Linked DNA regions of Ovis aries. The protein of the gene in region 1 binds, or shares a complex with, the protein of each later gene. Links are inferred from orthologs where the notes say so. Each region holds a gene or a part of one and is shown in the gene's direction. Other genes may lie near its edges. The genes, in order: GNAQ and F2RL1.

Region 1 (3,815 bases):
TGTCTCTAGTTGGGCCCTCAGAGCAAGGATAAGGATAATAAGCAGAGAAGCAATTTGGATCTTTTTCTTCCATACTTTGAATTGCTCAGAAAAGTAAAGATACTGGTTTCTTCCTATAAATTGTTGATTGCTAATGAGAAACAATTTCCTAGCTTTATTGCCATTAGGGATACTTCTCTTTAAATATTGCACCCCCACCCTCCCCAACCCAGTATTCATGGATGGAATTATATGTTCATTTTTAACTCCTTGCATTAATCTTGTTAAAATGTGTTGATTGCATTCATATTGCAGTGTTAACTTTATGCTTCAAGGAATTCTGAATCACTTTATTAAAATCATATGAAAATGATAAAGGAAATGTTAACTTTATATTTCAAGAAATTCCAGATCACTTTATTAAAGGTCATATGAAAAGGATAAAGAATTGGCGACCACAGGACTGTGGGGCTAGAAATCATCTTTGTAATTATATGAGGCTTCTGTGTTTACCAAGACATCTGTAGTCATTTAAGAGTGCTTCTATGAAAACTGTAATACTTATTTGAATTTTTCATGATTGTTTATAAAGATAGTAATGAAATCCAACCACCAGAAAAACCAAAGTTAGGACAGATGTCGTATTCCTAGTTTTCAGTTCTCCTTTTCCACCTTTTTTTTTTTTTTTTTAATGTCTTGTTGATAGGAAATGGCATCAAGGGTGCTGCAATCATCCTGAGTATTATTATTATTATTATATTCTGCCATGCTTACTATCCTAAAAACTTTGATTTTTTTTCCCCCACATCGTGGGGAAGACATTTATTATTTTGAAAATTTCAAGGAGATTTGACAGTGAGAGAGAGATACTCAGAAATAAAGTTGCACGTCCTCCAAAACAACTTACATTTTAAAAAATGAAGTTTTTAGATTTATAGTTTCAGATTCACCATAGAAGAAATATGTTGTCATTCAGTGAAATGATCTCATCTTTCGGGCATTTGTAGCTTTGTTATGGATTCTCTGTATGCTCATGGTCACCAAAAAGGAATACTGAAGAAGGGGAAAATGAGAACACAGAAGAAAGAAAATCAGTAATAGTGAATTTCTGTGTCATAGTTAAGAGTAGGCAGAAAGAAGGAAAGTTCCTGTGTCTTTTCCTGAATTGAGTGATTCCTTGACACAACTCAGCCAACCGAACCCCCTGGAAATAAATACAGTTGCTACTTGCTATCCCGAAGTATCTGGATTCTTACCTGGATACCATGCTCTCCATATACCCCATTTTAAAGTATGAGAAAGTGTCTAGAAATTTTCTGGCATGTTGTCTTACTGATGTCTGAACAGATTTGTATAAGTGCATTGTCATCTTCAGATCCAGATCCTGGCTAAACATCCCGGTCTGCTGGAAGCGTTTCAGACATACTGTAGGGAAGAGAGCTTTATCAAGTGTTTATTCTGTTCAAACCATGCTGCTTTCATTGTGTTTCTTATAAGATACATGGTTACAAGTCACTATCAAAATTCCATGCTGAGTGGCTTCCAAAAAGGTGACAGTTGTTTGTTTATTTTCTTAAAGTCTGCCTCTGAGCTGGAGTCTCACTCCTCTCATCTTGCTGAGTGCTCACCCTCGGTGGCACTTCCCCCGCTGGTGATGCTGCTCTCCTCTGATGCTCCTCTCAGCAGGCCCTCAGGATGCCACATCCAAGGCCTGCTCCTATGAATAGTGTAGTTGTCTGGAAGACTGTGAGAAGGTCTCATGGTCTGATGAGCTGCTGTCGTTTCTCTTGCAGGGACAGGAGAGAGTGGCAAGAGTACCTTTATCAAGCAGATGAGAATCATCCATGGATCGGGCTACTCTGATGAAGACAAAAGGGGCTTCACCAAGCTGGTGTATCAGAACATCTTCACGGCCATGCAGGCTATGATCAGAGCCATGGACACGCTCAAGATCCCCTACAAGTACGAGCACAATAAGGTAGGCGTGGCTCCTCCTGAGAACGGCTGGCGAAGCCATTCCCAGGGCGAATGGTCTCTTCACATGTCTGGGATGCACATTGTCTGTTTTAAATGGGCATTTTCCACCTCATCCTAAAATGGGGTTTTTAATAGCTCAGCACAGTTGTTTATAAATGGTTTTTTCTTCCTTAAGTCTTTATAAAGTCACAGCTATAAAAGATTGGAGTTGTATTCTTAGTGATATCAGTGAAGGACATGTCTGGATATTTGACAGTAGGTGTATGGATGTTTAAAATGTGGGGGCGCATGTTACGTTAAGAAGAGAGTTTTATCAGTTCAAGACAAACTGACCCGAGTGAGGGGATTCACATGAGAAGTGGTGGCCTTGCCTCAGCCTCCCACTCTTTGTGCTTCCTGAACAAAGAACAAAAACAGCTTCAGACCATTCTGTCCAGTTTAATTTTGGATTTCGTGACTTCCTTTCAGTAGTACCACAGGCTTAATTTTATTTCAAAATAAGCCCATCTGTCGCTTCCAGTAACCTTTCAAACACGTTTCCCTGCAGTTGTGTTAAAATAATGGAAACTTCTAAAATCACTTGAGAAAGGGTTAGGGGAAAAAAATCTAAAATTTTAGCTTTTTAAAAACCAAGCAAACTTTCCCAATATTCAGCATTATTTCTTAACTGAAATAGAAAGCCAGATTTTTTTATTCAGGTGAAAACAAATGCTGTCATTGCTTACTCTCCAAATATTATAACTACGTGATCCCTAACAAGTGTGGTGCATCTGAGGGTGTCCTCGGGTTTGAGTTTATACTGGGAGTTTATGAGGGAAGCAGAATTGTAGAAATGTCTTCCCTTCCTGTTAATCAATCAGAATGTCTAAGGGTGGATGCAGTCTTCATTCCTTACAACATGTAGGTGCTGATCTTGTAAGTTGGTAAAACCTTAACCTTTTGTTGACAAAACACTGCATTTGTACCTGCAGTTATTTGAGGACCTTCAATCGAAGCATTCATTTTCATTCTCTTAGTACTCTTGATATTCTCCTCTTGAGGATATTTCCATATACCAGGATCAATGGGTACTAACAAGAAGTCTGCATGCCCAGTATGACTCATAAGCTGAGATGTAACTCACAAACATGAATCATAGGTAAAATAAAGCAGTTCTCTGTACCTCCACTTCTTTTACTATTTAGAAGCTTCTAAATATACAGATCATTTTCAAATCAGGCATTTCTTTTTTGGAGGTGGTTCCTTAAAATGAACTGGCTGTTTCTTATCTAATTGATATCTTCACACTTCATTTTCCGATGGCAGCGAGAGTCTCTCCACAAATAACAGCGAGATCTTCCACAAATAGTCCTCCCAGCTTCTCCTCTCAAGAATGGAAAGATCTGAGTAGGTTCATGGAAATATGGTACCTGAATCACAGGAAGCTGTCTGGATATGGAAGCAGTCTGAGTTCAAAAGGATCAGGAATTTTCCCCTTTAGAAATCTCAGTGTAGTGAGTTTCTGAAATAGGTGGTATGCTTGTTTTGTTGCGGTTATGAGTATTCTGTTGAAGAAAATTTTTTTTTTTAATGCCAATGACTACAGTTGGTTGATAATATGATGATCTGATGAATTCTGGTTATCACATGTGTGGTGTAATTGATGTGTGTATATGTTTTATCAATACATATATATACACATACATAATGCCAGTCCCTGGTGGCTCAGAGGTTAAAGCGTCTGCCTCCAATGCGGGAGACCCGGGTTCGATCCCTAGGTCGGGAAGATCCCCTGGTGAAGGAAATGGTAACCCACTCCAGTATTCTTGCCTGGAGAATCCCATGGACAGAGAAGCCTGGTAGGCTGCAGTCCATGGGGT
Region 2 (3,915 bases), on another chromosome or scaffold:
CAGGTGCTGTGCTCCATCCCCAGTCTCATACTCAGCCTCATGCCCTGTCAGGTATTCTCCCCACAAACTCGTAAATATGTGCGGAGTCGCTTCAGTCGTGTCTGACTCTATGTGACCTCGTGGACGGCAGCCCGCCAGGCTCCTCTGTCCGTGAGAGTCTCCAGGCAAGAATACTGGAGTGGGTTACCACGCCCTCTTCTCTCCTCTGTCCATGAGAGTCTCCAGGCAAGAATACTGGAGTGGGTTACCACACCCTCTTCTAGGGGATCTTCCCAACCCAGGGATCGAATCCCGCGGCTCTTACATCTCCTGCATTGGCAGGCAGGTTCTTTACCACTAGCGCCACTGGGAAGCCCTACTTGTAAATATAAATGTTTACATAATTCTGTGGACTGTGGGCTCTCACAGAAAAGCTTCTGGCGGGAGCAGTGAGTAATAGGAGACAGCAGAAGTCACCATGTTTACGTGTGATGGACATTTACAATCCGTGACTACCGCTGCGCGACTGTGGGCAGTTTGTTCAACCTTAATTCAGTTTCCTCGTCTGTAAAATGGGAATAACAGTTATTGCATACGTTTTACATTCGGGGGATTAACCTAGACTGGGCTCCTGAGTCATTTACGCGTGGTACTTTAAGTAGCTGTTACAACTGTTTTCTCCCTCCCACTTCACAGACCGGGAAGGGCGCCTAGAAGGGGTAAGAGGTTTATGAGGGGTCGCAGCTAGTTAACAGCAGAGCGGAAACTTAAACACAGATCCCTGAAGACTCCGGCAGGCCCGGGCCCCTGCCTGCTCCCTATCGTGTTGGCGGGGGCCCGCAGACGTCCATCCTGCCAGTGCAGACTAGAAAGTCTCCCCTCATCCCGCAGCGCAGACGACAGTGGGAGGCCTCCAACAAGCACCCAAGATAACTGCAGCGAGCCCGGGCCTTGGCTGTGTGCCCTTTAGGAAGGGCGGGGGATGGGGGTGGACAACGCTGGCTCCGCAGGAGTAATTCAAGGTTAAAGGCGGTTTTCGGCCTTGCGCAGGCCGCGGCGATCCCACGACGAGAGGGTTCCAACCTTTCGAAGATCACAGCACAGTTTCTACGCGGCGGGCGCACCTCGGGCGGCGGGCCGGGGCGGGGCCCGGGACTCCCGGTCTCGGAACCGCGGGGCGGAGCAGCGCGTTCCCGCCCCGGGGCGTGGCCGCGCGCAGGTGCGGCGAGAGGCTCGAGTTTCACTGAAACTTACCGGGTTCTCGGGAGGCGTGCGCGCAGGCTCCAATCAGGGGCCGGCGGGAGGGTGGCTTCCTACCCGAGCCGAGCGGAGAGGGGGACTCAGTTTCGGGGCTGTGGCGGCGGCGGGCTTCCCGTCCGCCCGGCGTCGGCGCTGCTGCAGGATGCGAAGCCCGAGCGCGGCGTGGCTGCTCGGGGGCGTCCTCCTGCTGGCGGCCTCTGCCTCCTGCAACCGCACCGTCGCAGGTGAGAGGCTTGGCTGGGAGGGGTCGGGCTGCTCGGGAGCGGGGGTCTCGGGCGCCGTGGGCTGGAGGCGGACGCTGGGTGGATGCGGGAAGGGTGAGTGCGGCCGCCGCCTCCTCCTCCCCGCAGCCGGCGGCTCCGCTCCAGGCTTCGGAGCAGGGGGGTCTCCGGGGCCCCAGCTGGGACCACCAGCAGGGGCTGAAGCCTGTGGAAGCGAGCGGAAGACAGCGGGGTGTTCGCGTCTACGGACGCCCCGGGGGGCTGAGTCCCTCCCCGCCCCACCAGCCCCAGGTTTCTTTGCAAACACTAGTCATTAAGGAACTTTCGCACACTTTTCAGACTCTCCTGCCTAGTCCTGCGCGACCCGCGGGGTTAGCGAGTTGACGGCCTCAAAGAGCGGGACGGAGCCCGCGGCCTGGGAATTTTCTGAGTCGTTTTCTGAGCCTCCGGCAACTTCTGGAGGCCCCTCTTTGGGGTCGGCCCTCGGCATTCAACCCGCCTCCCCCTCCCCGGGGCCGGCAACTCCTCTGGGACGGTTCGTGGCGGGAGTGGGGAAGCCAGGGCCGGGCGCTCGCTCCGGGTTGTAGGCCAGTAGAACAGGTGAACGAATGGAACTTCTTGAACCCTGCTTTACATTCGACCAGGTGACCTGTGGGCCCCGGGTTTCCCGGCCCTTCGGTGCCACACCGGCCGCCACCAGGTCCGAAGGCCCGAGGCTGCGCTCCCCGGGCACGGAAGTGCCCAGCTTGTGCGCCGCAGCCGGTGCCCGGGGTGTGCTCGGACTTGTCAGGCGGGAGGGGGAATCTCCCCGGCTGAGCTGCTCTCCCAGGGCGTGGGCGCTGTTAGGCCGGGTATTGCCTTCAGTTCAGTTCAGTCGCTCAGTCGTGTCCGACTCTGCGACCCCATGGACTGCAGCACGCCAGGCTTCCCTGTCCAACAGCCCCCGGAGCCTACTCAAACTCATACTGTGATGCTAAAGGATGAGGAGCCTTAAAAAGGAAGTTTTTGTTTCCGTGCGAAATTTGTAGACCTGTTAAGACAGGTTCTCACTTTTATCCTCTTCATGAAGACATTGTAAAACAGCAAATCACTGTGAATTTGAATCAGAAGCATGTGATTCTTTTCCTTCTGCAGTTACAGAAAAGGGTATTATTATGGTGGATACTTGAAAAACTACACCCCTGGTACACATTTTATTGTCAGCGTTAGAATAAAGATATTTTATTTCCTGAAGGTACTGAAACTGTGATGAATACATGTCCCTTTACCGTTCTGTTTTTAAACTTACAAACTTAAAATTTAGGGGCAAGGCTTAGTATGTGCAGACATCTTCTGCAAAATGTGAGGATGTGGATTCTTCTAATTTATCATCTAGACAGTTCCAATAGGAAGCTTGCCTGAGTGTTTGGCTTGCTCTTGTTTACAAAGTGAGGGACAGGAGCTGGGAGGATTTCTGAAGTATAAGGCACACTTCATTTAACAACACGACAAAGATCAAGTTACTTGTTAAACAGAACTATTCAATATTGCACTTTTTTCGCCTTCCACATACTTTTATTCCTTTGCAGGGTAACTTTGCTAAAGGGTCAGTTCAGTAACAGTGAGACTTTAGGTAGATGGAGCTCTCTTCACAACTTGAAACTAAGTTGATTTTAATTAAGAAACATGGCATCACCAGTGTTTCTGACCTTCAGCACCTGTCTTTGCTCACCCGCTTCAGTCTGGCCCTCATGTATCCCCCTCAGTTTGCAGCAAGACGCATACTATACTAGACTTTTCTTCCCAAAGGTTTTTCCCCAAAACACTGCCTTATGGAAAGGAACTCAGCCTAGAGAGTAACCTTATCATTTCACAGATGGGGGTTGCTGAATTGAGGGGGAGAGGCAAGGAAAACTGTCCATCATACCCCTGCTTTCTTTCCTATCACATGTGTGTGTGTGTGTGTGTGTATTCTTTACCATCTGAGTGATGGATAGTTACTTCTGTAAATAGTTTTCTCTCTCCCCCAACTGGATCACATACTCCAGGAGGCCAGGGACCCCTACCGGCACCTCCATCACCACGGTCCAACACATCTCTTTCCCTAAAGGACCTCAGTAAATAGTGAATGAAAAATGAAGTAAAGGGACTGGCCCAGAGTTTCCCGGCAGTTGATGGCAGTTTGGCATTTAAGTTGGCTTTTTTCAGGTACTTACTTCTTTCCCCCGTGTCACAAGTCTGAGAAGTCCCCTGTAAAGCAGTCATTCCATTTTTCTTTCGGACACTGAAACTTGTGTTCCCTTTGTAATTGGTCATTAAGGATACAAGCTGTATGTGATTACTGTAAAGGAAAAATAAGTCCAAAAAGGAGGTGGCATTAATTAAATCACCCTCATTACCCAAAACATTGCCAACATTTTGGTTTCTAGCCTTTCTCATGCTTTCATACATCCATGCACAAAATATGTATTCATAA

What was found.
Region 2: the proteins of GNAQ (region 1) and F2RL1 are in contact, whole or in part, in a cryo-EM structure (PDB 9D0A), measured with the Homo sapiens proteins. The link is inferred for Ovis aries from reciprocal best matches to the Homo sapiens genes GNAQ and F2RL1. Residues at the interface, in NP_002063.2 of Homo sapiens: Arg37, Ile323, Tyr325, Asp346, Ile348, Leu349, Gln350, Asn352, Leu353, Glu355, Tyr356, Asn357, Leu358, Val359; in NP_005233.4 of Homo sapiens: His108, Pro109, Ala110, Met114, Gln172, Arg173, Val176, Ile177, Pro180, Met181, Gly182, His183, Ser184, Arg185, Met265, Met268, Leu269, Met274, Asp275, Asn277, Lys280, Lys281, Arg284, Ala285, Leu288, Ile289, Tyr344, Tyr345, Val347, Ser348.

Annotation. Positions count from the first base shown.
Region 1 is NC_056055.1:58,949,587-58,953,401, forward strand, and holds part of GNAQ (guanine nucleotide-binding protein G(q) subunit alpha), read left to right. Parts: intron 1-1,772; coding exon 1,773-1,957; intron 1,958-3,815.
Region 2 is NC_056060.1:8,047,546-8,051,460, forward strand, and holds the start of F2RL1 (proteinase-activated receptor 2), read left to right. Parts: upstream 1-1,224; 5' UTR 1,225-1,381; coding exon 1,382-1,463; intron 1,464-3,915. UniProt on the Homo sapiens protein: Receptor for trypsin and trypsin-like enzymes coupled to G proteins.